Linked DNA regions of Lepisosteus oculatus. The protein of the gene in region 1 purifies or fractionates together with the protein of each later gene. This does not show direct contact. Links are inferred from orthologs where the notes say so. Each region holds a gene or a part of one and is shown in the gene's direction. Other genes may lie near its edges.

What was found.
Region 2: the proteins of tnrc6c1 (region 1) and protein argonaute-3 purify together in Homo sapiens (affinity purification with mass spectrometry; 3 studies listed by BioGRID and IntAct, with this or other methods). This does not show direct contact. The link is inferred for Lepisosteus oculatus from reciprocal best matches to the Homo sapiens genes TNRC6C and AGO3.
Region 3: the proteins of tnrc6c1 (region 1) and cnot10 purify together in Homo sapiens (co-immunoprecipitation; 3 studies listed by BioGRID and IntAct, with this or other methods). This does not show direct contact. The link is inferred for Lepisosteus oculatus from reciprocal best matches to the Homo sapiens genes TNRC6C and CNOT10.
Region 4: the proteins of tnrc6c1 (region 1) and cnot1 purify together in Homo sapiens (co-immunoprecipitation; 4 studies listed by BioGRID and IntAct, with this or other methods). This does not show direct contact. The link is inferred for Lepisosteus oculatus from reciprocal best matches to the Homo sapiens genes TNRC6C and CNOT1.

Annotation. Positions count from the first base shown.
Region 1 is NC_090704.1:44,664,914-44,672,501, forward strand, and holds the start of tnrc6c1 (trinucleotide repeat-containing gene 6C protein), read left to right. Parts: upstream 1-4,570; 5' UTR 4,571-4,781; coding exon 4,782-4,837; intron 4,838-7,588. UniProt on the Homo sapiens protein: Plays a role in RNA-mediated gene silencing by micro-RNAs (miRNAs). Required for miRNA-dependent translational repression of complementary mRNAs by argonaute family proteins.
Region 2 is NC_090706.1:126,511-134,155, reverse strand, and holds the start of protein argonaute-3, read left to right. Parts: upstream 1-4,641; 5' UTR 4,642-5,242; coding exon 5,243-5,261; intron 5,262-7,645. Other genes in the region: ago1 (protein argonaute-1), read left to right, coding at 1-189, 324-432.
Region 3 is NC_090705.1:42,669,300-42,677,002, forward strand, and holds the start of cnot10 (CCR4-NOT transcription complex subunit 10), read left to right. Parts: upstream 1-4,691; 5' UTR 4,692-4,959; coding exon 4,960-4,978; intron 4,979-5,798; coding exon 5,799-5,896; intron 5,897-6,427; coding exon 6,428-6,589; intron 6,590-6,670; coding exon 6,671-6,821; intron 6,822-7,703. UniProt on the Homo sapiens protein: Component of the CCR4-NOT complex which is one of the major cellular mRNA deadenylases and is linked to various cellular processes including bulk mRNA degradation, miRNA-mediated repression, translational repression during translational initiation and general transcription regulation.
Region 4 is NC_090715.1:4,432,260-4,439,181, forward strand, and holds the start of cnot1 (CCR4-NOT transcription complex subunit 1), read left to right. Parts: upstream 1-3,905; 5' UTR 3,906-4,488; intron 4,489-5,222; exon of another isoform or gene 5,223-5,409; intron 5,410-6,922. Other genes in the region: lysosomal protective protein, read right to left, coding at 235-387, 837-921, 1,170-1,261, 1,359-1,517, 1,889-2,026, 2,419-2,530, 3,475-3,638.

The DNA of each region.
Region 1 (7,588 bases):
TACCAGTCAAATGCAATCATACTAAGAAAATGCAATGCCAGTGCTGTGTCAAGGATGTTTAAACAATCTCTAGTCTTTCACTTTGATGGTAGGAATCAGACCAGTCCCAGCAATCTGTAATTTTTGTTTCTGGTCTTCCCATGTTCAGTATTGTATGGTTTAAGAATGACGTCTGTAATATTTGTTTGGAAGAACAGGTCTTTCCTTCTGTCCCAGTTTGAGTGGTGCTACCACAGCATCAGACTTCATTCAGAAAGATGCTGGTTTCTCTGCCTCCACAGCTTGCCTTGGTAATCTGTTCCATTAGGCGATACGATTGGAGTTTTTTGGTATTGGGGCACAATCGGCCATAACAAATTTCCCTTTGTGTTTTCCGTTTTTTGGCGTTGTGTTGACACAACTGTCCATATCGGTAGAGCTTTCACCTGTTGTGGTTCCTCAGCCATCTTAACTGTGGCTGAGAAGCGAGAGAGGAGAGAGTTTGGACGATCACACTCATGCCTGCTATAGTCTTTGGATATGTGGCAGGAGGGATGGTTTTTAAAAAGACCTGTCACCTTATTTGGCTGTTTTAGAAATCATTATGAGATGGGACCAGATCAATACAAAAATCTCTTGCCATGTGCTTGTAAGGTGCAATCTTTGGATATTTCTTGTTGTGAAATGCTTAATTATACTATATGGCATGGTTATTAGGATATTTATATCTATGAAAACGGAAGCAGACATGGCGTTTGAATCCACTCCCTTTCTGAAAACTGAGCACGTAACCCTGACTGTGATGGATGATAGAGTCTAAATCAAATAAAAAGGAGTACTGTTTGAATTAAGTAAATTCCTAACCCATTAATACTGATGTCGATGAACATCAACTTTTGTGATACGGTAAAGTTGATTCCATCAAATGGTTTGCGGTTTTATTCCCAGAGCCCGGCATTGTGCTTAACAATGTATTCATCTCTTGCCTCCTATATCCCAGTGCCGTTTTTCTGAAAAGCTGTTTTAAGAACAGGTTGTATTTGCCTCATGGTTTCAGGCTCCCTAGGCGTCCCTGCACACAAATATCAGGTGACAGCTGTACGCCCTTTGTCTTTTCACACAGTGGACACATTTAGCCATGCAGACTAATTTGATTTGCGGAGAGCCAAGGGTGAGTGGAATCCAGGTGTTGGAGACACTCTGACCCATGTGTAACCAGGCAGACAAAACATCCAAGGACGCAGAAAGGCATGTGGAGGGGTAAAGGAAAGGCTGAAGCAGGCCGGGTTGTTCGTAGTTACAGGGTGTTCGTCTGTCTTTGTGTGTTTTGTCTCTGGAAGATAAAGCACTTGAACACATTTCCGTGTTGAAAGGATCACAGGTTATTAAGGGGAAGAACAGGGCATCAAGTTCGTACTTTGAGAACAGCTTAACTTTATGAGTTTTATCGGTGCTTCTGAAAATAGACAAAAAAAATCCCACGGTGGGGATTGTACAGTACCCTGGCTGAGGAAAATGGCGCCTGCGTTATTATGGGCCTGGACAACACAGGGCACCTATTTGGACAGCTGGTGAGAGTGAGATCTGGCTTGATCATTAAATCTCTCACCTGGGTCCGATGGAGGAGTTGACTGTTTCGGGATGTACCCAGTGAGCGAGTTGCTCCAGGAGTGTGAATCAGATGATAAGCCAGCAGCCAAATCACCCTGCAACTCACCACTGGCAGCCCACTGGAGCTCAGCAGGTGTGAGCCTGGTCAGTACCTGGATGGGAGACCTCCTGGGAAAAACTAAGGTTGCTGCTGGAAGAGGTGTTAGTGGGGCCAGCAGGGGGCGCTCACCCTGCGGTCCGTGTGGGTCCTAATGCCCCAGTAGAGTGACAGGGACACTATACTGTAAACAGGCGCCGTCCTTCGGATGAGACGTAAAACCGAGGTCCTGACTCTCTGTAGTCATTAAAAATCCCAGGGTGTTTCTTGAAAAGAGTACCGGCATCCTGGCCAAATTTCCCATTGGCCCTTACCAATCATGGCCTCCTAATAATCCCCATCTATTGGGTTCATCACTCTGCTCTCCTCCCCACTAATAGCTGATGTGTGGTGAGCGTTCTGGCACACTATGGCTGCCGTTGCATCATCCAGGTGGGGCTGCACACTGGGGGTGGTGGAGGGGATCCCCATGACCTGTAAAGTGCTTTGAGTGGAGTGTCCAGAAAAGTGCTATATAAGTGTAAGCAATTATTATTATTATTATTATTATTATTATTATTATTATTATTATTATTATAAGTGACCTGGAAGCGGCAGGTCTAGAAAACAGTAGCAGTAGGGGGAGACGGTTTCTCAGTAGGTTCATTGGGCTTGGCGCTGCCATGTGAGACGCAGACACACAGATAACACTCCTGGTTGTTGGGGAGGGTTTGGGAAACTTAGTGTTCGGGTGGGGGTGGGGGTGGGGGCCCTCCCTTACATTATTCTTACTTTACATGGGCTTATTTGGAATGGTGAGATAATGGGGACACTCCCAAGTAAAACCTCAAAAGAAGCTGCCAGATGACTTACCTTCCGTAACTTCCTCACTTTCTAGTGATGTAATGTTGAACTCCAGACTGTGCCAAATTTGATCTCGCTTCCCTGGAAACGAAACGGATTTCTTAAAGTGAAATACGGAAACCATGCTCTGTTCTTGGTTTAAATGTGCAGTGATTGCTTTCTTTAGAAAAGAAGCACAGCGTTCGATATCTTGGAAAGGTGAACCATAAGAGTTTCTTCTCCATAATGGGATGTTCAGCCAGTCTGTTGTTCTTTTTATTGTTATTGTTACCTGATTTGTTGGTACTATTCCAAGCTAGTTAACTGCAGAAACATTTTTTTCACTTGATTCCATGTATTTGTTTCTGGTTGGTCTAGATCAGGGGTGTCCAGTCCTGGAGAGTCGGTGTGCCTGCAGCTTCACATTCCGACTCGCCTCTTAATGAGCTAAACCAGCTGGTTTCTGGCTGAACTGGACCGATTTTACAGCTCCTCCCAGCTCTTCAGGTGCTGCTGCTTTACAGACACCCAGCAATTCTGCTGACACACTGACCCTTTTGGACCACGATTGGATTTCTTTGCATCAGAATGGTGTGAAGCCATTAGGGTTTAAATTTCCTTCCTACAATGTGCAGACCTCCATCTGCTGGATCCTGGCTTTGTCCGAATATGTCAGCGGTCTGTCTTTTCAGTTTGTCCAGCATGTCGCAGGCTGGACGCTTAGTGAAAGGCTATCTTTAAGCAGGAGCTGGCTGCAGGGGCGTGTTTAAAGAACGTATCTCACTCCAGTTTGAATTTTGCAAATTTTGCAAATTTTCACATTTAAGTAAGAAAAAAAGTCTTTTTTTTCCCTTTAACGTTATACGTGATGGTTTACAAAATGTGTCTCGGTGTCCTTTTTTTCAGCAGTCATTCTCCACCCCTCTACACACACACGGACACCGAGGCAGGCAAAACTGTGGTTTATGCGTTTGTTGAACCCTGGGAAGCTGCACTGATTCTTTCTCTCTACGAAGTTTTTCATATGACTGTGTTCCTGTGACATTGTTCTAACCTGCCCTCCCAGTTCTGACTGGAGGGTTCAAGAGACACTTTCACTTTCCTGCTGCACTTGTGTGTGCCCATCCTGCAGTCTGTGTCTAGCTCAGTGTGGTGCGAAAAATAATAATCGGTTTAAATAGCAGCAGGGGTGGGCTTCCTTCAGTCGTGTGCATTATAAATAGCACTGGTTGCACATGGTTTTGAACATCGTCGGAGAGTTTTTTTTTCTCCTGCATTTTTCAAATCTAGGCACGCACACGGAGAGATGAATGCTTTTCCAGTGCTTTACCCGACACTAAACCGTTCCAGTCACTCAGCATTTTTTCAAAGGCTTTGTTCTGGCTTTAAAAGAGAAACCTCTCTTTTCTTATTTGCTCTGCTTTATCTCTTGACAGGCATCAGTACTGTCAGCTATTTTGATTGACACCTCCCCGTGTTTAAAGCCTGCTTTACATATGGCTTATAGACAGCTTCTGTTTCAATCATTGTAATTAGAGCCTGTTTTATCATATTTAATATTTTTCTTTGGTATTGTTATCTCAGAATACTTTTATTTCTGCATTTGTTTGTGTAATTCATGCATGCATTTCTTATTAGTGAACAAATCCATTTAAGTGAAATAATGATCTGTGTTTCATGCAGGGACTGTGCTGGAATATTTGGTGAATATGTAAGCAATTCTTTTAGTCTAGAATGGAAGAAGATGAAACTATAGTTTTGATACTGTTCACTGTTGTCAAGCGGGTTAGCAGATGAAGTTAATGAATTTCCTGTGCTGAGATTTATAAATCGAAAGCTTTACGTTTTTTTCTATGGCATTTTTAACTTTTAAAAAGCAAGTCAAAGCTTCTGGATTTGGTAAGTAGATTGGCAGGTGTGTGTTTCTGTTCACATTGGTACAACAACATGAGATTTCTTTATGACATTTAAAGATGCACAAAGCTATCCAGAGGTAATCCTGTAGAAAATAACTATTAGATAAATAATGAAGTCAGATGTGTACATATTGTATTAGATCGGATGAAGGCTGTCGCTGAAAGGTGAAGCCTTTATTTGAAAATTGAAACACTTTTCTAAAAATCTGCCTCATTTGTAGTGGTATGAAATGGTCATACATTTTCAAAGAGTTTATTGGTGGCAAGATGCGCTTGTTTTAGGAATGCAAAAGCTGTTGTAAACACCCCGAAATCTATCCAGTCTGCCCTGGAATGTGACTTTATCACGGATCACAATGATTTCCTTTCAGGTACCTAAACGGAGCGGTGGGACACATGCCTCTGTCCGTTGGTAAGGGGGTGACTTAACTACAAAATGGGTCTTCTGCCTTCGTGGGCATTCCAGCTCTACTTGGCTTTTCCCCTTGCAGTCCCTTGAGAAGCCCTATTGCTTCTGTTAATTGCTGGAGATTTGAAGCGGTTTACTGTATGGGTGCTTCTAGGGTGGGGGCGAGCTTGTTTTTGTGTGACTAGTGGGTGCCTTGTGGTATTAACCCCAGTGTTGCTCCTGGGCTCAGTCCCGGGACTGGGATGTGTCTTTTGCAAGGACCTCTGTTTGCAGATCTTTGGATTCTCAAGCGTTGGAGGGCAATGAGGCTAGAGGAAGTCATGGTTTTTGAGGACTCATTGAGGTGTGGTAGCCCCAGCCCCCCCCCCCCTTCAGACTTTCTTGTCCTTAATCCTTTTGTCTAATTCCTCAACTGTGGAGATCACTGAGGTTTGTGGTTGGCTGTACTGGCAAAGGAGCCTGTGCAGGTTGAGCTCTTGTGATCTAGGCATCCTCACCTGTGTGCACCGAGCGGTGCTGATGACCGGCTTGGGGTGAGTTCGCTGGGCTGTCGTGGGCCCCCAGCGACGCGGCGACTTCCCTGGATACCCGCGTGCCTGCTGTCCCGACACGCCAGTCGGGAGTGCATGTCTGCGATGCCGAGCCTCCTGAACACGGGAGAGGCTGCGGCCGGCTCCGTCTGCTCTTCCTCACCCGCGGTCCCGGGGCTTGTAGCCTTGAGCCGGGATACGAAACTACTCTGGACTTGCCAAGTGTGAGAAAGTAATTGAAAACCGGAAACCAAATAAAAAAAAACAAAAACAAAAAGCTTGCATATTGTGGGCCCTACCTTTAGAGCGAGCAGGAAAACTCTAGGCTGGGGTGTCTCTGGGTTAGAGGGATGTGTGTCGGGGCTGCAGTGCAGTAGTTAAGCGTCTCTTTGGATGTTGTTGGACTGGGTTGTACAGGATGAACACTGCGTTTTGGTCCAGGAGGTAAACCTTTGCCACTCAGAAACCTGATTCTTGGTCAGTCGCGTTTTAAGTGTGGTGCTTTTCCCCCCATGGTAAAGGCAGTTTCTGTGGTTATATATAATTTCATTTAAATCTGTCCTTTCATTGAGTAATTTCCCTTTCTTGCACTGACTTGTTTTATACAGTTCTTACTAAGCAGCTGGCATTACGTGATAGTTGTACCTCATTTTCCAAAGAAAGAAAACTTGTGACCAGATGGATGATTTTGAGGCCACATAGTCAAACCCTCACACTTTCTTCACAACGGAAATTGATTTTATAGACATGCTAGTACATTAACATTCCATTTCCCTTCCAGAAGTCCTTATTGTTTGCTCATTTCTTATTTATTCTTGGCATAATCTTAACTGTTGTGTCTACAGAAATCCTGTAGTGCAGATATGACTGTACCCAAGTTAAAGACATCTGCTACCTATATGCGAAAGTGTTTTGTTTTTGCAGGCTAACGAATACATGGGCTACACTTGGAGGAAATGAAAATCTTAGCTGGGTGATTTAGAAATGAGTCATGAGTTCTGTTTTTAGAGCTATTGAGACTTTCAAAGTGAAGTATTTGAAAAAATTAGTTTGTCATGAGGTGGTAAAATCATAGTTAGAGCAGAGGGGGTACAGTTTTACATCTGCCAGAACGAACCACATCACACGGAGAAGGGGGTTAAGTATTTCTGAACCATCAAATTAGAGACCGTAATGCAGGATTTCTACATCTTCCCCCAACCCCCCCCTTCTGTTTTGCAGCGACATCTGTTTTTTTTTTAAGCTTTCTTGATCCGTTTGGTCTTTCCTCGGATGTTCCGGGTTCAAGCGTCGGGTTGCGGGATTGCCGGATTAAGTCCCATTCGGGAAAGCTTGGAAAGCTGCGACTTCCTCAAGCGAGAGTCGCGGCAGGCAGGCAGGCAGGCAGGAGAGAGAGAGAGGCCGTGGCCGCCGTGTCCGGCCGCAGGTCTCCTCCCGGCCCTGCGGCTGGTGCTGGCCGGAGGGCCCTGTGGGAACGCGCACCTCTGTCTTGCAGCGCCGACATTCTTGGCCTTCAGCCCGGAGCGTCGGGCTCCGCTCGCCTCCCTCCGGTTTCTCCTTCTCCCCCCCTCCCTCTGCGTCTCTCTTCTGGCCGAGGCGCGCAGGAGCACGGACCCGTGCCTGGTGGCTGGAGATGGAAAGGGCTCTTCCTGAGCAGCCGTCTGCCCCCCCCCCCCCGCTCACGTTCGCCCCTCTGCATTTCCTGCCCTGCTCCTCTGCTCTTCTTGCCTTCTGCCTCCTCCCCCCCCCCCGGCGAGCGGGTCGCGTCTGGGCTCCTGCGTTGTGCCGTCAGCCCGGACTTACTGTGTTTTTAAATAGTTTTGGGGGCAAACTTTCTTCTTTTTTTTCCACTCCAGCGGCTGGGGGACGGCTGACCTCCAAAAAACAAACAAACAAACAAACAAACAAACAACGTATGTTCCCCCGGCTCACGTTGAAGTATCGCTGCCAAGTGAGCTGATGGCGTCTTAAGACCCGTTTTGTTAAGACCCCTCGTGGGTCATCTGGCACTTACAGGTCTACTGTAGCTGTGTGCTGCTGTAGCCTTCATGTTATTCAGCTGAGCCCTGTTGAGTAATACTGGATAATAAAAACCAGGAGACCTCCGTGCCCTTGAGTGCTCGCTGGCCTTGTTTTGATTGGACGCTGCAGAAGCTCAAGATCTGGCTGCCGTTATCTTGCCACAAATAAAGAAATGGAACATTTTTCCATTATTTGCAACTTT
Region 2 (7,645 bases), on another chromosome or scaffold:
CCCCTCACACTACTACGTCCTCTGGGACGATAATCGCTTCACGGCGGATGAACTGCAGATTCTCACCTACCAGCTGTGCCACACCTATGTGCGCTGCACGCGCTCCGTCTCCATCCCTGCGCCCGCCTACTACGCGCGGCTGGTGGCGTTCCGCGCCCGCTACCACCTGGTGGACAAGGAGCACGACAGGTGAGGGGGGAGCAGCCCGGCACGTTGTGATGGTGTCGTTCTCGCCATGGTGCTCTGCTCTCCAGTGAGCTGGAGGCCGTTGTCTCGGCGGTGCTCTGCCCTCCAGTGATCCAGGGTCTGCCTTTCTCTTGCAGTGGGGAGGGAAGCCACATCTCCGGCCAGAGTAACGGTCGGGACCCCCAGGCCCTGGCCAAAGCCGTGCAGGTTCACCAGGACACCCTACGGACCATGTACTTCGCCTGAGCCGCGCCCTCCCAGCACACCTCACGGACCTCACTGAGCCAGAGCGGCCCGAACCCAGGGCCGTCCTCCTGAAGCACAGACTGCTGCGAGCAGCTGGACGTGGCTCCGCACTCACCAGGAAACTGTTTCTAAGACTCCGGGATTTTATTTTTTTTATATATATTATATATAGAAGTATATATATTTACACTTCCGAGTATGTATGCAATACTGAGGAAAGGAGCTGAGGTCCTTGACTGCCCACACATGCTGCCTCTGTCTGTGGACTCGCCTCCCACAGACAGCCCGTAGAGTTAGATCTGCAACGTGTTGAGGAAGTTTTTTTTACTGAAAAAAACTTTCCTTATGTTTTTATCCTTTTGTTATTGTTTTAAAATGTTTATTTTTACCCAAGGTAAGGTACAATAGCACTTGCTTGTCTTAGGCCTGCTAGGCTGTGTGTTCGCAGGGAGAGGAGGGAGGGCCGTAGGTCAGCGTGCTGTCGATTGGAGAGTGCCTTACCACAGTGCTGGGACGAGGAGAAGCAGCTGCCCGTATGGACACACTGGTGCCAGGGCCCACCTGGGGTGCTGGGACTCCTGACTCTCCCTCTGATTTGCCTGTCCCTGCTGCTCCGGAGCAAACAAACCGGTCTGCACAGGAGGGAGAGGTCAGCAGAGACCTGGATGAGCTATGTGTGCTCGCTAGCTCTGTGGAGCTGTGGAGGAAAGCCCAATGTGAACTGAGCTGTGGGTTCAAGACCTCGCAGGGCCTGCATCTTCAGCAAGTCCATCATTTCATCTGTCCACGTTCACAGTCTCCTTCTCTGTCGTCACTCAGCTTTGTGCAGCGATTCACCAGCCGGGAGCACGGTGGCTGTGGGACTGTACACAGACGCAGGCCACGCGGCAGCGTCCTCTCGAGCAGCAGCTTGGCTTCTGAAGACAGCTGAGCAACACTTCTATGCATGTCCACAGGGCACACGGGTTACAACAACGCTGACGGCGCACACTCCTCTGTTCTTCCTCGCACGCTGGTCTCGCCTGTCGAGGGCTCTCTGCGTGCCCTGCCAGACCCCTGGCACAGCGACAGTCTCTCCTCTCCGCGGCAGCTCTATTGCGCCCCGCAGGGGGCAGAGAGAGCCAGGCTGTTGCTCTTGGCTGCAGCTGCCCCCTAGAGAGAGAGGGAGCATCGTCTGTTGTCCAGCAGCTGGAGGTGTGCTGCAGTGCACGATGTTGACCCAGGGCAGCTTGACTCATAATTACAGTGTTCTGGGCCCAGTATAGACCCTCAGACAAGGACTCGTGTTTTCCAAGCGGTTTTGACAAATTCCATCCCTGTTACTGGTCCCTGTGTCTCACTGAAGCCCCAGGTGCTTTTTTTTGTTCAGTAGCATCAATTACTATGTAAATAATGAAATATAGGACCCTGCCTGCCTATGTTTAGATTTAAAATATTGTCAAAACTTCTCAGAATGCACAGATGTGGTTCTTAGTCTGACGGCATAATTTGCTCAGTTTGAACATCGGTGAATAGCGACAGACGCCCTGCCTGCAGTATCACCTGGTCTCCTCCGGGGGAGCCCCTGACCTCTTACCCAGCTATGCAGAGATGCAGAGATGCACTGTGCACTCCTTCGCCCACAGCTTGGACATCTCTTTCGCTGCTCCCTCAGCTCGGGCCCCAGCTGCTCGGGGTCAGTGCGGGATGGGGGAGTGGCCGAAGGGGAGAGACGAGAGCCGTGTCGCAGACCGGTGCCAGGATGTGTGCGAGCGCAGAGTCCAGGCTGAATCAGCAATATGCCACTGCGGACTGTAGTCCAGATATAGCACTTCCGAACAGAACCGATAGGGAATATGGAAACTAGTTCTCATGGGTCAGTATTAAATAGTGTGAAATGTTCTGGTTATTTTTTGAATAAAATGTGTGTTTTTATTATGCTTGTGTTTGTATAATTTTTCTTTAGCATTATTTTTAGACACTTCAGCTTTTATTTTTTATGCATCCTGAAAGACTGTGATCACTTAGTTTAAAGGGAGTGATATCAGGCCTTTTCTGGGCCGTGAGTTCATCTGTGTTTGAACCCAAGGCCAAGGCTGTGGAGGGCCTCGTGCTGAAAAGCTCTATACGAGTGCAAGGTATTGTTTTTCATGTTTATTATTAACTGGCGCACACAGTAGCAGATGGGCACTGTCACTGTCCACCCACACGGGGTTTCTGCCAGGTAGCTCTGTGGTTGAGGGGCATTAGGGGCATCCCTCACTGGTGCAGACGCTGCCCTAGAGAGGGGAGAGGGTGAAAGCTCCAAAATTCCTGGGGCTTCTGATTGTGACGGCTGCTTCATTTCCAGATTAATACAATGTAGTTTTGGCTATAGTTTTCATTATTTTACACAGTTCTAACCTAAACAAAGCTGATAAAAATAACTTGTTGGTAATCGCTGTATTAACTGGCCGAACTGCTTCAGAATAGTGGACTATGAAGCACAGTGGTGGCAGGCGTGTCTCCTGTGGGCCAGGCGGACTCCTCCACACTGGTTTGCGTCTGAGCACTGGGTGTCCATTACCATGACTCTTGACTAGACAAGTAGCAAATGACCAAGTGCATTCTGAAACACCTTTTTATATACCTGCTTAATTATATGGACTAGTATAAAATTGTTTTAACATTGTTTTGACCTGAAGCTTGATGCCAGCGTGGTTGTCCCCTCTGGACACTCTCTATAGTTGAGTGTAGAAAAAGGGTCTTATGTTATTGCACCACCTATTGAAGGGGCAGTGTGGACACATCCATCAGGCCTGCTTGGAAAAGGAAAGAGTAAATCAAATAAACTGCGCAGGGCAGACCCAGGGTGCTGTCTGTGTGGAGTTTGCATGTTCTCACTGGGTACATGAGGGTTTCCTCCTACATTCCTGTGGGAGACATGGAAAACTGTCCCTGGTGTGTGTGTGTGTGTGTGTGTGTGTGTGTGTCCTGTGATGGGCTGGCCCTGGTGTGTGTGTGTCTGTGAGTGTCCTGTGATGGGCTGGCCCTGGTAAGTGTGTGTTACTGCCATGGGTGGACTGGTGTCCCATCCAGGGTGTGTCCTGCCCTGTGCCCAGTGCTTGCTGGGATAGACTGGCTCCCCTGCGACTCTGGTAAGAAGGATAAAGTAATACTTCTAATTGGAATAAATTATTAACAGAACAAATTTTCAAAAGGCAGGAAATCAATTCAAAATACCTATGCTATTAAAAGCATATTTAGGGATGATGATGAACTAAAACATGCACAATTTAGAATTCAAAGCCTGTTGATCTCAACTGGCACAACTACAGAAGGTCCTAGAGACGTTAATAAAGACACAGCGAAACAGATTCTAGCGGAGCTCTATCGGTTATTTGACTTTTTCCTGTGGCGCTGACAACATAAATGAATTGATTGTGGTAAAAAAAACAAGTCCCTGTGTCCTTGCAGTCGATCCAGGACAGTACAGTCATGAAAACAGGGGGTCTCAGCCAGGAGAGACAGTGCAGTAAAAACAGCACCAGAGCTGGCCGGTGGGCAGACACACTCCAGGGGCAGGAGCGGCCCCTCAGACCAGTGTCCAGGGGCAGGAGCAGCCCCTCAGACCAGCATCCAGGGGCAGGAGCGACCTCTCAGACCAGCGTCCAGGGGCAGGAGCAGCCCCTCAGACCAGCGTCCAGGGGCACGAGCAGCCCCTCAGACCAGTGTCCAGGGGCAGGAGCGGCCCCTCAGACCAGCGTCCAGGGGCAGGAGCGACCCTTCAGACCAGTGTCCAGGGGCAGGAGCGACCCCTCAGACCAGCATCCAGGGGCAGGAGCGACCCCTCAGACACACTCCAGGGGCAGGAGCGGCCCATCAGACCAGTGTCCAGGGGCAGGAGCGGCCCCTCAGACCAGTGTCCGGGGGCAGGAGCGACCCTTCAGACCAGCATCCAGGGGCAGGAGCGACCCCTCAGACCAGTGTCCAGGGGCAGGACCGACCCTTCAGACCGGTGTCCGGGGGCAGGAGCGACCCTTCAGACCGGTGTCCGGGGGCAGGAGGGGTTAACAGCGGCCCTGAGCTCAGCGGACGGCAGGCGAGCTCCCCCTGCAGGCTCCGGCAGGAACACCGTGTGGGGAGCCGGGGAACACGGGTGTGCATTATTAATACCTCTCATGAATAATGCAGACCTCGGCTCATGAATAATATGGTTTGCTCGGAAGTGACGGTGTTTCCTGCAGTTAGTGAGAGAGACGGTATTTCCTGTCAGGATTTCCCCGAGCGAGGATCACTGAGACCGGGCAGCGGACCAGCAGCACGTCGGGGAGCGACGCCTCGGTCTGCCGGGTGAGGAGCAGGGCTACTGCGGCCGCAGGGGCAGGGAAACACCGGCGGGGCAGCCGGGCTCTGTCGGCGGGGGTAGTGCGGACGCGGAGCCGGGAGAAACTGCGCCTTTCGGCTCAGACGCCGACGGAATATCGGGGAGACAATCGAGCCGCCCGTCGGGGACGTGAGAGAGGTAAATACCCCGAGGAGACCTCCTCCTGCCCGGCGGAGCCGCGGAGACCCAGCGGGACCCGAGGGCAGGGCCCCGGGCGAGCAGCGGCGCAGAGCCCGTCCACAGCGGCCGGCGCAGGGGTCCCCGGCCGCGAAGAAGCCGCCATCAGCGGACCGAGCCGCGGGGGAGCGGGCCCGTGTTCCGGGCGGAGAGTCTCCGCGGAGGACTCGGCCTCACCAGCGCGGATCGGGCCGGGCCGGACAGGACCGAGCGGAACCGAGCTGTTGGAGCTCAGACCCTGGACCTGACATTTAGGAGCCGGCGAGGAACCGGACAGAGACCTCATGAATGGAAATCGGAACTACAGGTAACTGTGCCACCGAGTGTAGGTAGGGCGCCGTGGGAGTGTGGCGTGGCTGCAGCGGAGCCGTGCTGACCTGCCCGCCCACTGTCACGGACAGGTGTCCCCTCAAGGTGTGCCTGAGCGGCGGGGCGGTGCGGTCCTGTTCTCTGTTTCTCGGGCTCCCGTCGGGGGGGGGGGAGTTTGGATCAGAACCGGGCTGAGCCGGGAGTGGGGTGTACTGTCTCTGGCTCAGGGCAGCGCTGGTTCTGTCAGGAGTGGAAGTGGAGTGTCCTGTCTGTGGCTCAGGGCAGCGCTGGGCTGTCAGGAGTGGGAGTGGGAGTGGGAGTGGGGTGTCCTGTCTGTGGCTCAGGGCAGCGCTGGGCTGTCAGGAGTGGGAGTGGGAGTGGGGTGTACTGTCTGTGGCTCAGGGCAGCGCTGGGCTGTCAGGAGTGGGAATGGGAGTGGGGTGTCCTGTCTGTGGCTCAGGGCAGCGCTGGGCTGTCAGGAGTGGGAATGGGAGTGGGGTGTTCTGTCTGTGGCTCAGGGCAGCGCTGGGCTGTCAGGAGTGGGAGTGGGAATGGGAGTGGGGTGTCCTGTCTGTGGCTCAGGGCAGCGCTGGGCTGTCGGGAGTGTGAGTGGGAGTGGGGTGTCCTGTCTGTGGCTCAGGGCAGCGCTGGGCTGTCAGGAGTGGGAGTGGGAGTGGGAATGGGAGTGGGGTGTCCTGTCTGTGGCTCAGGGCAGCGCTGGGCTGTCGGGAGTGGGAGTGGGGTGTCTTGTCTGTGGCTCAGGGCTCAGGGCCAGAGTGGGAGTGGGGTGTCCTGTCTGTGGCTCAGGGCAGCGCTGGGCTGTCAGGAGTGGGAGTGGGGTGTCCTGTCTGTGGCTCAGGGCTCAGGGCTCAGGGCAGAGTGGGATTGGGGTGTCCTGTCTGTGGCCCAGAGTCTGTGGCTCCTGCCATGAGTGGATGTGGCTGTTGCCTGCCGTGGTGTGGGAGCCTGTAGCTGGGGTGACTCCTGCTGGACTATAGGTCTGGGCCTCATCCTGAGATGCTCTTGAGCAGCTTGCTGTCCCATTGGGGACGGCGATCGCAGTCCCTGGAACCTCTCTCTGAGTCTGGGTGGTTCTGTCAGCTGTGCCTTGGCTCCAGTTTCGGTTGTCGGTTTGTTACATGAACGTGCAGGGAACCTCTCTCCTGGGTTGCTGTGGGCGTGAGGCCAGCAGTGGAGAGCTGTCACAGGGGTAAGCTGCTGTCGGAGAGGAGACTCTTGACTCTCTGCAGTCACACGGACTCAGGCTGTGGCTGAAGCGATTCGTCTGGTGGCCTGCTGGAGATCTTGGGGGGCTGGAGAGCTGGGCAGTGATCTCCTGGCCCAGTGTGGTGCCTGTTGAGTGGCTGGAGAGCAGGGCAGTGATCTCCTGGCCCAGTGTGGTGCCTGTTGAGGGGCTGGAGAGCTGGGCAGTGATCTCCTGGCCCAGTGTGGTGCCTGTTGTGGGGCTGGAGAGCTGGGCAGTGATCTCCTGGCCCAGTGTGGTGCCTGATGTGGGGCTGGAGAGCTGGGCAGTGATCTCCTGGCCCAGTGTGGTGCCTGTTGAGGGGCTGGAGAGCTGGGCAGTGATCTCCTGGCCCAGTGTGGTGCCTGTTGAGGGGCTGGAGAGCTGGGCAGTGATCTCCTGGCCCAGTGTGGTGCCTGTTGTGGGGCTGGAGAGCTGGGCAGTGATCTCCTGGCCCAGTGTGGTGCCTGTTGTGGGGCTGGAGAGCTGGGCAGTGATCTCCTGGCCCAGTGTGGTGCCTGTTGTGGGGCTGGAGAATCAGGTGCTGAGTCACTTGCCTTTCTGGGTGAGTCATTGCTGGGGCTGAGCTCAGTAACCAGTTGCTGTTGGATCACTCTGACAGGTCACTTTCTGTCCAACCAGCACTGCCTGTGGTTGTACCAACAGTAGTCTCAGGGCAGTGATGAGCCCAGATGCAGCAGGGTGAGAATAATGGTGCGTAGTCTCTAGTCATTAGTATAGAAAGATTTAAGCTGTACAAGAAATGCTTGAGTTGCCATTAAGGGTAGCAGTAATTGTAACCTCATGCAGGATAGTAGCTTGCTTCTAGCCTGTGCAGGTTTGACTCAGTCCTGTCCTCTGACGTGGTGCTGTTTCTCTGAACCTGTCCCTGTCCTACTCTTCGATCACAGCCCTTGTCCACACACTCTGACCTGCAGGCACCTGGACACGGCTGTCCAGCACACTGACCCTCATGAGGGAATATGCCCTCTGGCCCCCGGTTACTCTGCAGTGGTGAGGATTGCCAGAGCTGTCCTGACACTGCCTCACAGCTCTGTGCTGGTTGGTTCAGTGAAACGTTTTTGTATCTGACTGGAACTTTTGTTTTTATATTTGTGGTTGGCTGGTGATCTTAATAT
Region 3 (7,703 bases), on another chromosome or scaffold:
GTTCCCCACCAACCTGGCCAGTGAAGCAGCTTCTCAGCCTCCACAGTGGGGTTGCCGACACAGTAACCCCTGACTCTCGCCACGGGGGGGCACTCTCACTCTCATTCTTGCCACCAGCCGAGCGTGACCGGCGCTGGCAGGGCTGGACGGGGATTGGCCGAGCAGTCGTCCCAGCGGACGGTAGCTCATGGGAGGGCTGCAGGCTGGCCGTGGCGTCAGTGGCAGATGTGCCTGTCCTCCAGTCAGTGCTGCACCTCCTGTCTGCTGGTGGGCCTGTCAGGGGAACGTGTCTGTGAGTCGCGGTGTCTCCCGAGAGACAGCTCTCAGAAAACAACAACTGGGGATTCCAAATAATAAAATAATAATAATAATAAAAAATAATCAGTGGTTCCAATTTTTCATTTAAAAAGATTCTTGCAAAAGTGTGACATTTATCATACTGTATGGAGTGAGCAAATTGCTGCTCGTCACTAGAATCTTTATACAGACTTTTCGAAAGGAAAACCGAACTGGCACAGCCTCTATTTTCAAGAGTTCTGTGAACATGCCATTAAAGCTACAGTACATTAGAATAAGTCATACTTTAACAGCTAATATAAAGTAACCTGGCTGATTGATGTAGCTTTTAACTATGGCAGCTCAAACCATAAAATATAAGTAATAAGGATAATCACAGTCTTCAACAAATTTTAAGCAGGGATTAAATAATTCAGTGCAAAAATTACAAGCAATGATTAAATAGGTTTTGGATTTTTACTGACAAATGGAACGATTGTCACGATTAAGGACGCTCCGGCTCTTTCTTGTTTCTCTTGATTTTTTTGCACCTGCCCCCTGTTCCAGCCCCTCCCTACAAAAGCCAGACGCTCCCACCATTCAAGGTTCAGCTCTGGGAGAGGCAAGCCCCTTGACGGGTCCGGGGCTTGGAGCGCTTGGCCCCGTTACCCCTTTACCCCTTTTTATTCCCCCGACCCTTCGCCGGATCCCGCTCCGGCTTTTAACTCCTGTCATGGATGGATGGATTACCCGGCTCTGGACTTTTGCTCACCCTGGATTTGGACTCGTTTGCCTTGGCCACGCCCCCCCCAGCACCAGTGCACCGCCGACACGCCCCCCTGTTCTTCTCCCAGCCCCGATCCCAGTCGTCTTTCCCGTGTTTGTTTCACTCCCTTCCGGATTCCGCCGTCTGCACGGGGTCCTGAAAAACGCTCCGTGACGGCGATTTCTACTCACAAAGTTAATGGATAAACAACCTATGCAGTATGCACCCCTCCCTTAAGAGGAAAATGGGGAAAAAATGAAATGTGTTAATTGCTCAGCTAAATTCAGTTCTCTGGCATTTTGTTCTGCTGTTTGCAACGCAACTTACAGAAGAAAAATCTGCTTTTCCACTTCTTGCACGGAAAATCCGACACTTACACAAAGCTGTAAACCTTTAAAAAGTCTGGAGATGGAATCCATCAGTAATAAGAAACAGAATCGCATTTTATGTGTTAATTGAATCCCTTGTTATCATCCACACAACACAAACATGCCAGAATGATGTTTTCTTGTATTTGTGCTGACGTTGTTAAAGACAAGTGGTTTGCTTTGCTAATAGAGCAACACTGAATACATTTAAGAAATCCGGGTATGGTACAGGTTTACCTTTGAATTTAGTAGCTCTGAACATTATAATGGTTACAAACGAGGGGAGTTCATTCAGCCCAATTAGATCATCTGGTGTTTAGGGTTCCTACTGTACTTTACAGAATGCATCACATCATTGCTCCTGAAAAATAACCAATGTTGCAAAATACTATTAATACATAAAATATTATGATTTTTATTTTGAGAAATTGAGTAATTGTTCTGTATCTTCCCAAATAACGTTATCTAGTAATACATTTTTTAAATCCGTAATAACTGTAACTTTGTGTTACTTAAAATGCATTCTCCTGAGAACATAACTATACCTGAACATGAAATAACAAACTTACCTTTAAGAATAACTATTATGTAAGGATATCACTTTTTCACACCTCCTGATGTCACTGTATTTTGCCAAAAAGGAAATGGTCTATCAAGTTAATATATACTGGGAAGCATTAAAAATGGAAGCAAAAGCATCTGTTGTATTTTTAATACCCATCAATTTAAAATCCCTAGACCACATCACACTTGAGTGTAGTCTGGAAGCCAGGCATCTGAATATCTATGTTATCTATGCTACCAAAAGCTATGAAGCAGCTGGAAAATGAAAAATACAGCCCATAAGACTAAAACAAAATCAAACAGCATAAAAAATCTGAAACACCAGCTATTAAATACTATTACATCTCTTCTAATATGTAAGTATTTTAAAAGTTAGTTCAGAAATAAATACTTTAAATTGTACAGTTTACATTTTTTATTCCCACACATACACATCTCATCTTCTGGTTAACAAAAATTACATAACAATCCTTGATTCTGGCCTGTTTCATCTTGTGCTGCCTCTCATCTTCCACTATCTACTGTTCAGTGATTGACATTTTCCCCCTGAAACTTGTCTTCTGCCTCCTGAAAGCACTGGAAATGTATTGCGTAGGAAATTCAGAATTTGCGTCAAAGCTTTCCCATCTGTGTAATGACACCCTGTTATTGATTGTGTGGTGCAGATCTGCTTCACAATGTCTGCAGCTGCACTGCTGCTTGGAGTGATTTAGATTTTACAGAGCTGGGATGTTCAGACTCTGCCATTTCTCCATTAGACAGGAGGCGATCAGATGTGTGAAGTATAATAAAGATAATATGTGACGCTGTCATAAAATTTAAGATGCTCTGCAGTACCACAGAGAGGTTTTTGCATTAAATCATAAAACAAAAGATTAAGGCCCTACTTAATGCTTTGTTTTTTATGGCCATAGCTTTTCAAGTTAATTTTTCATGCTTTTGTCCCAATTTGAATGACAAGTTTAGAAAAACTCACTATTACAGTAAACTGGGAGGGAATTACTGATTGAGGCCTACTTTTTCCTTCATGGTCCTTGCCAATAGAATTGACATCAGTTACTTAATTGAACTAATTGAGACCTTTTCACCTGCTCACTGCTCCTAAGTTTGCTGCCCTAATTTCCACATTTCTGTACATTTTTAGTTAATATTAATTGAAATATTTGAGTTAATTCTAACATCCCTTGCAGTTACAGAAAACACTCAAAACTGTTTAATTATTACATTATTTCTTAATTCTGAAATTTGATTTTATAATAAAGAGATGAGCTGGATAAAAGCCAGTGGACACGGGGGGTTCTAAGACCTGGTCTGAAGAATTCCTTTTAAAATCCACTTTGCCAGTTTGGGGAGATGAGAGGGGCTGATTGAGCCAATGGTCAAATACTGACATCCAATGGATAAAATAAAGTAATGCATTCTTATAACTGAATTATCTCTTCAGGAACTGCAACTCACGAGGAGCAGATCAATTCTTTGTTTTTGCTGCAAATGCTAAAATGCCCTCATCTTCTCCAGAAGGTACACCAAGTCTGACTAGGGTTTGATTTATCACACAACACCAAGCTTCATTGTGTTGCGATTTAACAATGTCCAGTGAGATCTTTAAATTAATATACAGTATAATATGTGCTTTTGTATACTACTTTATACAGTATGTATGTATACTACTTTATCTATACTCTGTATAGATACTTTTCATCTCATTAGTTCACATACGTTTAGGAGGAAAGTCAAGCTTTCATCAAGAGCTGGCACACTGCAGTAGCACTTCTGAGAAGAGCCCCCAGCTGCGATTTATTCAGACTCTGGATGAAAAACATGAGCCCTTTTTTAAGTCATTGCTGGTAGAATTCAGGGATTGATTATACAGGGACATTCGTATTGATACAACGTCTGGTATAGATGACTGAAATGAAGAGGCCGCTAACTGGGAGGTGCTGTTAGGCATGCACATTACTAGAAGAGGTACTACTCTGTTTTAGGGCTCCACGGTTTGTATTTGCATTGTTATTTTCAAAGACATTGATTTTTCTGTTTTTTTTAAATACATCATTAACATATTTTGTTGCCGATTTCAACAGCTCATTTTACGATGTTACAAAGGAAAAGCATACATTTACATTTTGAAACAGCTGTAATTGTCTGCATTTGTGGAACTAATTAAGAGACTCTGTTGATTAATCAGAGCACTATTTAGCTTGAGTGGCTGAGCCACATACAAATTGATTGTGTGACTAGTGTGGACTGAAGAAAAGTGTTCAGTTACTGCAGAGTGTCTAAGCACTATGTTAGGCTCTACAGTCCATTGAATAATCTGTGCATGTCATTTTGGAGTGCACACATACCAGTTTAACATTTTACGGTTTCTACTGGGGAAAAATAAACTGCACGGGCAGTTGGGTTATCTGATGACAGGAAAAAATGTACTGTGAAAAAATAAGAGTTTGGAGTGCTATTTTGTCTGCTGCATTGGCTGTTACAGGATGCATTTAACAAACACAATAATACATTCACATCCCCTTCAAAGACGTGCAAACCGAGGGGGAGTCAAGATCACAGTGTTTTCGTTATTCGATGCTTAATTGGCCTTTTAATTGGCTTTAAACCATTAGAAAGACTTTTCAGCGGCCTCCACGGCGACAGGCGTCGCTGTTGCGCTCCGCTGACAGACGAACCTGATGACGTAAATCTCTTGCGTCTGAGTGCGGGGGCGCTTGTGGGTAATTTTCATGGCGGACATCTGAGAGCGATTTGTGATTTGAAATTCCCTGACCGTAAAATCGCATCTCATTCCTCTTGAAGAAATTTTCTAAATGTATTTTGTGATTTAAAGGAAAGTGACATTTACAGTTTGCAAATTGGAACGCGTTTTGACTTGAAGACTTATAAGCGCTCTGAAGCTTTGAGACGGTTACATTCTCAGAACGTAATAAGAATCCGTAATAGACAGCTGTCTGCACACTGGGTAAATAAACCGAGGAAATGGCAGATAACACAACAGGTATATATATTACGACTTTGTATTAAAAGCAGCTTTTTGCTCTATCGATAATAAAATATTTAAATAACTTATGTTTAAAAGAACAGCTATTCTCTAGATGGGTAGATGTATAGTGACTTATGTGGAGTCAGTAATGAAGTGAAGCATATTTCTGTTAGTTTATGTTATGTATATCAATGTCTGTGGTCTTTTATTCAGGATATTCAGGATATACTCTGTGTGTACAGTTAACCCGCTTTTTATACTGGTTAACTTTTTATACCCGGGAAGCATCTCCGTTGGCACAGCTATGCTTTCAATTTCCTCAGATTTTAAAATGTCGCGTACAGCTGTGGAGATGACGGTGACGTTTGTGTCTTTCTCTCGTATCTGACTGCTCTGCGGTGGTCCCGCGCCGTCTAAAGTTTTTTTTTAAGAGTTTAGATTAATCCTATAATTATGTGAATTAAGTTTGCACTTATGCGAAGAGCTATTTAAGGGATATCTTAAACGACAACGAACAGATGTGCTGGTTCCTAAACTTAATCTTAAGCAAAGGGATAGGTACCGGCTCCTAGGCGACCTGTCTTGGAGAAAGCAGTTAGAAAATGTATGAAGGTCATGAACAGAAGTTTGTTCTTTGTACTGTGTTGCTGCTGTGGTGTTTGGTGAGAGAGAGCCCAGATGAAGTGCTGAAAACATTGAGAACATGATGGCCGTGTAGATTTGCTGGGAGGGGGGTTCCAGAACCATGGATAAAATTAAAGCTTATTTTTATTTAGCGGTGCATAATATTTTAAGTTAATCATAATTAACCCTTTTTGTCTTTTTTTTTGTATAGAGCAAGGCAATGAGGCAAAACACGAGAACAATTCAGCTTCTTCTGGGATCACAGATCGGGAAAAAGAACTCGCCGCCAGTGCTTTTCAAGCATTTTCGGTAATGTGTGGTATTTGACAGAACTGTGTAATTCGTAAAAGAAGGGCTTAGGAAAAACTATTAGAAACAAATCTTACATATTGCAGTGACTTTGATAAACGTTCAGTGCTCTTGCTCTCTTGATATATGTTTTAGATGTAACAGCATAATTTCACAGATTGTTACATGGATTTAGTTTTACATGCTGTATTGTGAAATTTTCCATAATTTGAAAACATAAACTGATGCTGAAGATATTAAGTGCATTGTGACTGAGCTGTAGGCACGGCCACCCCTGAGTGTGTTGTTTAAATGAGTTTGCAGTCATGTTTAATATGTTAACCTCCACTTGCTCCATGTTTAAACTATTTTCTGTGCTATACTGATACTGAGATGGCTTCATTATTGGCTGCCTTTTAGGTGTGAACATGTTCAGAGAGTTGTGTCACCTTTTCTGTAGATAAAATTAAAAGGTTTACAACGTTTTTTTATTTTTATCCGGCGCTGTTATTTGATTTCTGCTTGACGGTCAATTTTTGCTTTTTCTTTTAGTCTGGAAGTTATGATGAATGCGTGAAACACCTTGAGCACCTTCAAGAATGGAACAAGGATGACTACAAAATTGCCATGAACAAGGCCATTGCTGAATTTTACAAAAGTGGCCAAACTACTACTGACACTTTAAAGCAGGCACTTGCCACAATGAAAAATCAGGTAACCTGCTGAAAGGAAACCTCTCTTCAACAGACTTTCCTTTGCACCTAAATTAAATTAAAGCACCTTTGTTTGACCTAGGTTCATGCTGCAGTAGAAGAAATGGACGGTTTGGATGATGTGGAAAACAGCATTCTTTACTACAATCAAGCCATTGTCCTATACCACATGCGTCAGTACTCGGAAGCTATTGCAGTAGGAGAGAAACTTTATCAGTTTTTGGAACCGTTTGGTATGTGTCTCGGTCTTTTTCTAAATATGTGTATTTGTATGATATGAATATAACCTAGATTCAGAGGATGCAAATGGTTTTCATTTCACTTATAGTATTCTTCAGGTCTAATAGGAAAAGAGTACATAGAATGTTTGTTTATTTTTATAAGAGTAAAAAAGAAACTTCTCACTGTTTTAATGCATGCATAGTTTTGGAAAATACATTTTAGGTATAGATTATATATTCAAAATTAAGATTAATTTGAATGGGCTCATGTGATGAGTTAATTTAACCTCAGGATTGTCAAACCTAAAAGAAAAATATGGAAAGGAACCAATATACCTGCTAGCCTGTTAAGTTTCCAGTAGAAGTCAAGCTCAAGTTTATTTTCATATCTACCCGTGTACAATGAAATGCTTACTTGTGTGTTTTCCTCGCATGACAAATGGAATAACAGATGACATCACAATTCTTGGAGACGGGAACAGGAACAATAATTTTAACCAGCTTTTAGATAGGAGCTGTATGCAAAATTCAGCAATGGCAGTATTTTACTACTACTACTGGTGGCAGTCTCCCACTGACAAATATTAATCATCCTATGTCAATTGTATCAATAACTGTCAGTGCGTCTGCTTCAAAGTATATCTGGAATTGTCTTTTGCCGAATATTGACTGTAAACTGTTTGCAGTTGTAAGTGATAAATATTCTGTTGATTCTAGGTATATGCATAATTCTAATATAACCTATTAAACACATGTATAATATGGATAGAAATGGAGTGCATGTAGTTAAACTGTTGTCTTTGTAGACAGTACATGTTTAAGTTGATAAATATGTGTGCTGCTACAGGACTGCAACATTGTGATAGGTATCTTGACAATAAAATGGGTAATGCA
Region 4 (6,922 bases), on another chromosome or scaffold:
CCAGGACTAGGAACCTGGTGCAACTATTATATTTGATCTTTTCTCTCCTAATGTATAAAAACCTACACTTGAGGACTTTTTGACACAGCAGACCTATAACATGCTTTAACTGTACTCATAGGTAGCTGTAATGTTCTTCTTCTCATATAACCTTTCTGCTTGAAGAACTCGGAAGCTAAACAGAGGTCATATAGACGCGCTGTTCCCCCAAATATGTGAAAGTTAGTTCCTTACCAAACTGGTATCCCAGTGCGGCCTGTAGTTCCGAAAGAGGTTCTGCATGTCCCTGTGATAACGTGCAGCTGTCCCCACACCGCCAGCGCAGTCCAGATACAGAGCATAATCGTTCAGCCCAGAATCATAGATAATATTAAATGCACGGCCCACCTGCCAAGAAGACAGAAGAAGCTGTTCAACTTTCATCCATCCGCTTCCAACCTCTTGGTCCGCAACATACAGTGGTCACGCTGAGCTGGAACCTAAGCTGGCAGACCATGGGGGCAAGGTGGGATACCCTGCGGTCAGGACACCAGTCCATTGCAGGGCATTCACACACCGGGGGGGGGTCACCATTTATGCTCCACACTGAAGGTACCCCAAACCAGAAATGAACCTAAGACCCCAAGAGTTGTGATGCGGCCTTTCCTTTCAGCAGAAACCTTAAAGCTAAAATAACACCAGCTCATTAAGAATGCGTTTTCTGCGCATCAAGAATCCAGACCTTTGTTTTAAATGGGGCAGATGTTGGAAAATTACACTTTTCTCTTCAGGTGTGCTTCATGCTTCCAATGCTGTATTATTATTCACGGACTATGGAAGAAACTGGGAGACAATACCGCCTGAATGCAGCCCGTGTCACTGCTGTTGTAGAAGTTACATGTCCCATCTTTGCAGCAGTTCCTGTTCAAGTCAGCCCACAGTCTACAGAAAGAAAGCAAACATACACACTTTACACAGAACATTAATCTAGATGTTGATGTCCTCTCCTTTGCTATGCCTGCATTCTGGTTGTGTGAGATTTTTTATTTGTTATGCAGTGGCTAGTACCAGTGACGAAGAGGATCTCTTTGTTGATTGCAGTGGCATGTGAAATTGAAAGGCTCCACCCACAATGCACAGCTGCGATGACCTCACTTCCTGAGCTCAATGATGAGAAAACTGATGCTTACTTTTCTCCAAACAGTCCATGGTAGTACGCAAAGTAGATAAGAGACTGGTAGTTGAGGTCAAAGCTGCTGATTCCATTGCCAACTGCAAATCCCTAGAATGAGGAAAAGAGCAGGAATAGGAAATAAGGAACTAGCTAGAAACTTGTTAGGAGAGCACCCTCCCCCAGAGGTCACATCGTTTGGCAATACCTTCAAATTGATCTTGGCAGAGCTGTTGGCAATCCTGAGGCTCAGGGTGGGTGCGTATATCCCTCCGTAGCTCTCGCCAAATACGTAGAAATCGTTCTTGGTGAAATTGGGAAATTTAGTAAAGAAACTCTGCAGGGCTTTGAAGTTGTTGTCAGCCACCTGTCAGAAGACACGAAGCAGGCAGCTGTGAGCAACAGACTCCATCCTGGAAGCACAGGGTGCACAGCAGGAATACAGTATATATATAAATGTGTACTCAGACACAATAACCAGCTACCCCAGCCAGCAAGTTTTTGAAAGGTGAGAGGAAACTGGAGCGCCCAGCGAAAATCCACACGAGCACAGAGAGAACATGTCCAGAAGTCCCCAGAATTCCCCTGTCCTGCATCGAACCTAGGACCCAGGAGCTAACCCCTGTCCAAGAGCCACAATAATCAGCATTTTGACTTTTACATCATGGACACCGAGAGGGTACTGTTGCGTTTTGGCATCAGGTTCTTTTTATTTACTTAAACTCGGGCTGCACTGACCTCATCGTCGTTGGTTCTGTAGTCCTTATCGTCTGAATAGGAGTAGCCCACACCAGCTGGAGACTCCAGATACAAGACATTGGCAGCTTTATTCCAGCTGTAATCGTTTAGGTACAGCGTGGCTCCGTCATCATTCACCTGCCAGAAAGGATGGGTAAATGAAGCTCAAATGGTAATGTAGAAGAGGAACTGATTTTTAGACCATGTGCTGCACAGGTATGAATTTACACCAGACAACTGTTGCTAGCAATATTGGCTGTTCGGCCAATTTCTACACTTCTCATTGTCTCCTTGCTTTTGTGACTTCTTTTCGTTTTCGGGTTGGATCTATGAAGGCCTGGAACAAAAACCTGGAAGGTGAATTTGTCTCCAAGCTAAATGAAATCTGGAACGACCACAGAACTCTAAGGAAAAAAAAGCGTCCCCTGCGATAATGATCAAGTGCAGAAGACGACCATGAGTTTTGCGGGCAGTTTTGAGCAAGTCTCAGAGGGAGAGCTCAACACTGAGGTAAAAAAAAAATTGCTCACGTGGAAAGGCCCATTCTCTGAGAGAAACCCGTCCAGGGAACTGCAGCCTGGACCACCATTCAACCACAGGACAAGAGGGTCTTTAGCTGGGTCTCCCTGGGATGTCACAAACCTGCAAGGCCAAAACAGGGAGAAAACAGCTATAATCAACACCTCCCTCTTCATTTTTTATCTGAGTGTTATTTTCAGAACTATACTACTACCACTCAGCAATAAAAATATTCACATATTGGGGTACATTTTCAATTTGCAAAGCTAAAAATATAGCGAGAAACAAAGGGGTCTTCACCTGTTGTCCCAGACAGCCCCAGTACATGTGCACACACCACGTTCACTCACGTTGTTTTTATTTAAGCATCAGAAATACAAATAACATATCCTTCATCCAAATCAGGTCAAACAAAATACAAAATAATATCAAAATCTCTCAATTTAACATTTACCTTTAAATGTTTAGCAATAACATTTTGCAAATCTATCCAAAACAATTTTGTGCATATGCATATTAACAAATGTAACAAAGATTCCTTCTCATTATTACAAAATGCACATAAGTCATCTCGCTCGTGTTCAAATCTAGAAAGTGTCAATTTAACAGGATAAAATCTATGAACAATCGTAAATGATATTTCTCTAACTTGATTTGTTAGAGATCAACTGCACTCGTTTCTGAAGATAGTGAACACCTATAAGTCACTGCTCGCCTAAGCACGTAATGAGCTAAATTTAAGTCCTAAAGGGATCATTTTATTTCAAACGATTTCTAAATTACCTGTTTTAACAAATCACCTGCAATTAAAATCACAAATCGGTCCAGGTATTTGGAAATTGGGGATTTCTCAGAGGACAAGGGGATATAACCAGAAAGGAGCCCTTGTTGGAGAGATTCGTGTTATAAATCCTTTCCGAAACTGAGCATCGTTACCTTTTCCGCTCTCGTCCGGTTCAAGAGAACTTTTCTCACCAACAAGTGAACTGACGAGGAAGTTAGAGTAGTGTTCACCGTACGTTGAAAAACGAAATATTGCATCTTCTGCTGTGCCGCGGCTGTCTTACCAGTAGTGCAGGTACTGCCCGGGGCTGGCTTTCAGGTACCCTGACCACTGCCTGAAGTTTGGGGTGAAGGACTGTCCGGGGAGATCGGTCACTTCATCTGGATCATAGACGGACTGAGCGGAGCAGCACAAGGCTGTTAAAACGACCAAGCTGCGGAAGAGCATGTCTATATTGCACTCACACACAGAGAGAGAGAGCTGGAGTGGTTTGGGGGGAATGAGAATCAAGTCTTTCTTTGGATGCAGTTCAATACTAATCAAATTGGTTGGCAGAAACTACCGGCTGTAGTCCTGGAGCTGAAGGGTCACATGACAACCCCCCCCCCAGATCTGTCACGAGTATTGAATCACGTGACTCGGATGACGCAAAAACTACGCGACATATTACGGCTCCTTATACCGGAAGCGAAAGTGACCAAGTAATTTCACAAAAAAACGGGGTATGGTTTGATCTTCAACACACACTCGTACATTTTGCTGCAGCAAAGACGTTTCGTGGGTTTGTCAAACTTCTGAGCGTTTGTGTTGCTAAAAAACATCAAAGCCAGGGAAAGAGGTTGGAACACCGTCCGATTTTTTATTGGATTACACGTCATTGTTCCGTTTGACAACTTCGGTATAGAAACAGATAAACTTGTATTAAGTTTGGTTTCTAGACTTCCTTACAAGGCACACGTTTTGTGCCACACAAGGCGCAAATTGCAGTTTTTCAATCAGTGAAAGCCTCTTTGTGCTTTGCGAGCTCATACACCAATAGGGAACCCTGCCCCATCTCTCTTCCACAATCATAGGCATCACTTTGATTAGGGAACAGGGAATCTCTGATTTAATTATTAAGTGCACTTCGCACCCTTCCATTAAGCCCCGCGTGGGTTATCAGATAACAGGTTCGTGGAGAAGATAAGATCAATGACCTGAGCGACGACTCTTCGGGATCCACTGTCCCAAACCCACCAGCAGATAGAGGACCCCTGAGTGTAACGAGGCTAACGGACTGGGGAAAGGTAATGCAGCTGTGAGTCCCAGTCGTGTCTAACACTCGATCAGAACGCGTTAAAAAAAACGTTAAATGCTTTTTTGTCTTCGTAAATGAACCTTTTAACTTGATAGGAATGCATGGGAATGGTCACCATCGCCCTTGTCAGCCCGGGCACACACGCTAGCAGTTCTCAGGCAAGGGGTGAGGCACAGACCGCGATAAAACGTCACATCGTGATGCCTTTGCTCTTTGGTTCAATGGCTCGGATCACTCACTAACTCGAGAGAAAACGACCATAAACGAACAGGATTCACTTTTTTTCCACCCTCGGCACGTGACCTCCCCGCGAGGCCTGGTGCCGCGGAGAGACGCTCGCGATTTTCAAAAACCCACACCGGCGGCGCGTGCCGCGTTCCGCTCACACCCGAATAAAAGTGCCGAAAATTAAAATCCGCCGTGATGTTGCTAGATGACCTGATGTCGACCGTACCATTATCCCGTGTCTTGGGGGGGGGGGGGACCGGCTGAGGCGCCGCAGCCTCTTTCTAGCCGGAGCGAATTAAGGAGTGGGGAGGGGGGGGTGGTCTGGTCTTAAAAAACATTTTTGGGGAGAGAATAAAAAATGTTTATGGGAAACCTATAATCTGGCGAGTTGTTTGCATGAATATTGATTTTTAACGTGCTGTATTTCGGCGCAGTTTTAATTATTTGTCTTCATTTGTGTAGTTTTTTTTGTTTCCGGAGTTGGTGTGTGTGGGGAGGGGGGAGGGGGGATGATGTTGCAGTGTCGCGAGCTCGATTTCAAGAAGATGGCGCTGTGAGCGCGCGCGAGATGTTGGTCGCCATTTTGTATTGAAAACCAAACCGAACTCGAGAGGGGGCAAACGTTATGTTATTATTTTTGTAACGACTCGGGGAGAGCAAAAATAAAGAAATGACCTTAGGAAAATAAGTGAGGTAAATATGATACCGTACCGGGGTGGGGAGGGGGATAATATACATTTTTGTATTTGTTTTTTTTTTCAGTGAAACGTGTTAGAGCGGAACGTAGGTTTGTCAAACTTCCAGTGTTATCATCAAGGTTTTTAAACCGACACCAAAGTTATCATTTTCTCGCACAGAATTAATATATTTAGATATTTTGTCGTTTTGTACATTTGAAACGATCTTGGGTTGAATACCCGAGCGGCACTTGTAGTGCGATATATTTTGTGCAAAACGAACGGGCTGAGTGAACTGTCTCATTTCACCATCCGTCTGCTAAAATCTTAGAGAAACAAAGGCTTTAAGAAGAGGTGGGGTCCTTTATAGTGTTATTTTCGCTATTTACATCTTTGACTTCACCAATGTCGCCTTTTTTAAAGACGAAGTTTCGAATTTTGTAAATCAGCTTAGGTCGGTCCTTTTGTGAGAAATAAACCCCTTGGTTAGCTATCATAATACAAGATCATATTACTGACGGTTCGGAATATTCTTTCACATTTTAGAGCTGTTTAAACAGCTTGGAACATTAAAAAAATCGTTATGTTTTGAAACATTGGCGACTGATTTTAGAAGCAGATGTATTTTAGCGTTATTGGTTGTAGCTCAGTGCTTGAAGTTCAGTTTGCAGATAGAACTAAGTTGGCCTTTTTACGAAACGGCTTTTTAATGTGTGAGCTATTCACGGTTTAAAAGTTCCTTTAGATGTCTCCCTAACTGGTTGGAAAGAAAGCAGTCCTCATTTTCCTGTTAATATACATCCACGAGTACAGTATGTGCAAGGGAAATAGGAGTACTTTAACGCCGAGTAGCTACTTGTAGGAGCAAGTGTGGTACATATTCGAGGTAGCTGAAAAGCTAGGCACAAAAAAAGCAACTGAAGTTTAAACTTTGCACTACCAAGTAAGTAGTCTGGAGGGGGTTAGCTGAGTTTTCCACTTCATTTATTTCTAACAGAGTCAATCTCTTGTTTCCCTTTTTTGGGGTGGCGGTGCTCTTAATTGGGGAAATTAGTCATTGAGGTTGAGGCTAGAAAACACGGAGCCGGTATTTTCTTGAAAAGAGAAAGCGTTTTAGGTTGGAACTGTTCTAAAGTTTCTTTCAGAGTATTTTTTAGGAGAGGTTCATCTTGGTGCGTGTTAGGTTACTATTTTTTTGACAACACCCTCCCTAACTAGCCGTGTTAAACTTCGGGGTTAGGGGCTGACCTCTTGCTAAAACGAAACCCTTTAGTGCTCGTAGTTCGTACCCTTAAACACAGTAACGGCAGCTGTTTTTAAATTGGGTTCGGTTGTTATTATTTTTGGCCACATTACTGGAATGTTGAGGAAAAATGTTTACACCTTTTCGGCTTGGAATGGTTTGTTGGGGGGTTAGGCCCCGGTTACTTATTGTAAGGTAATGTTTAACGGTCGTTGCATTTTACCAAGCAGTAGAAAAACGCATGAAAAGCACCTCATGTATTTTATACAAAAACATTCGTTAATGT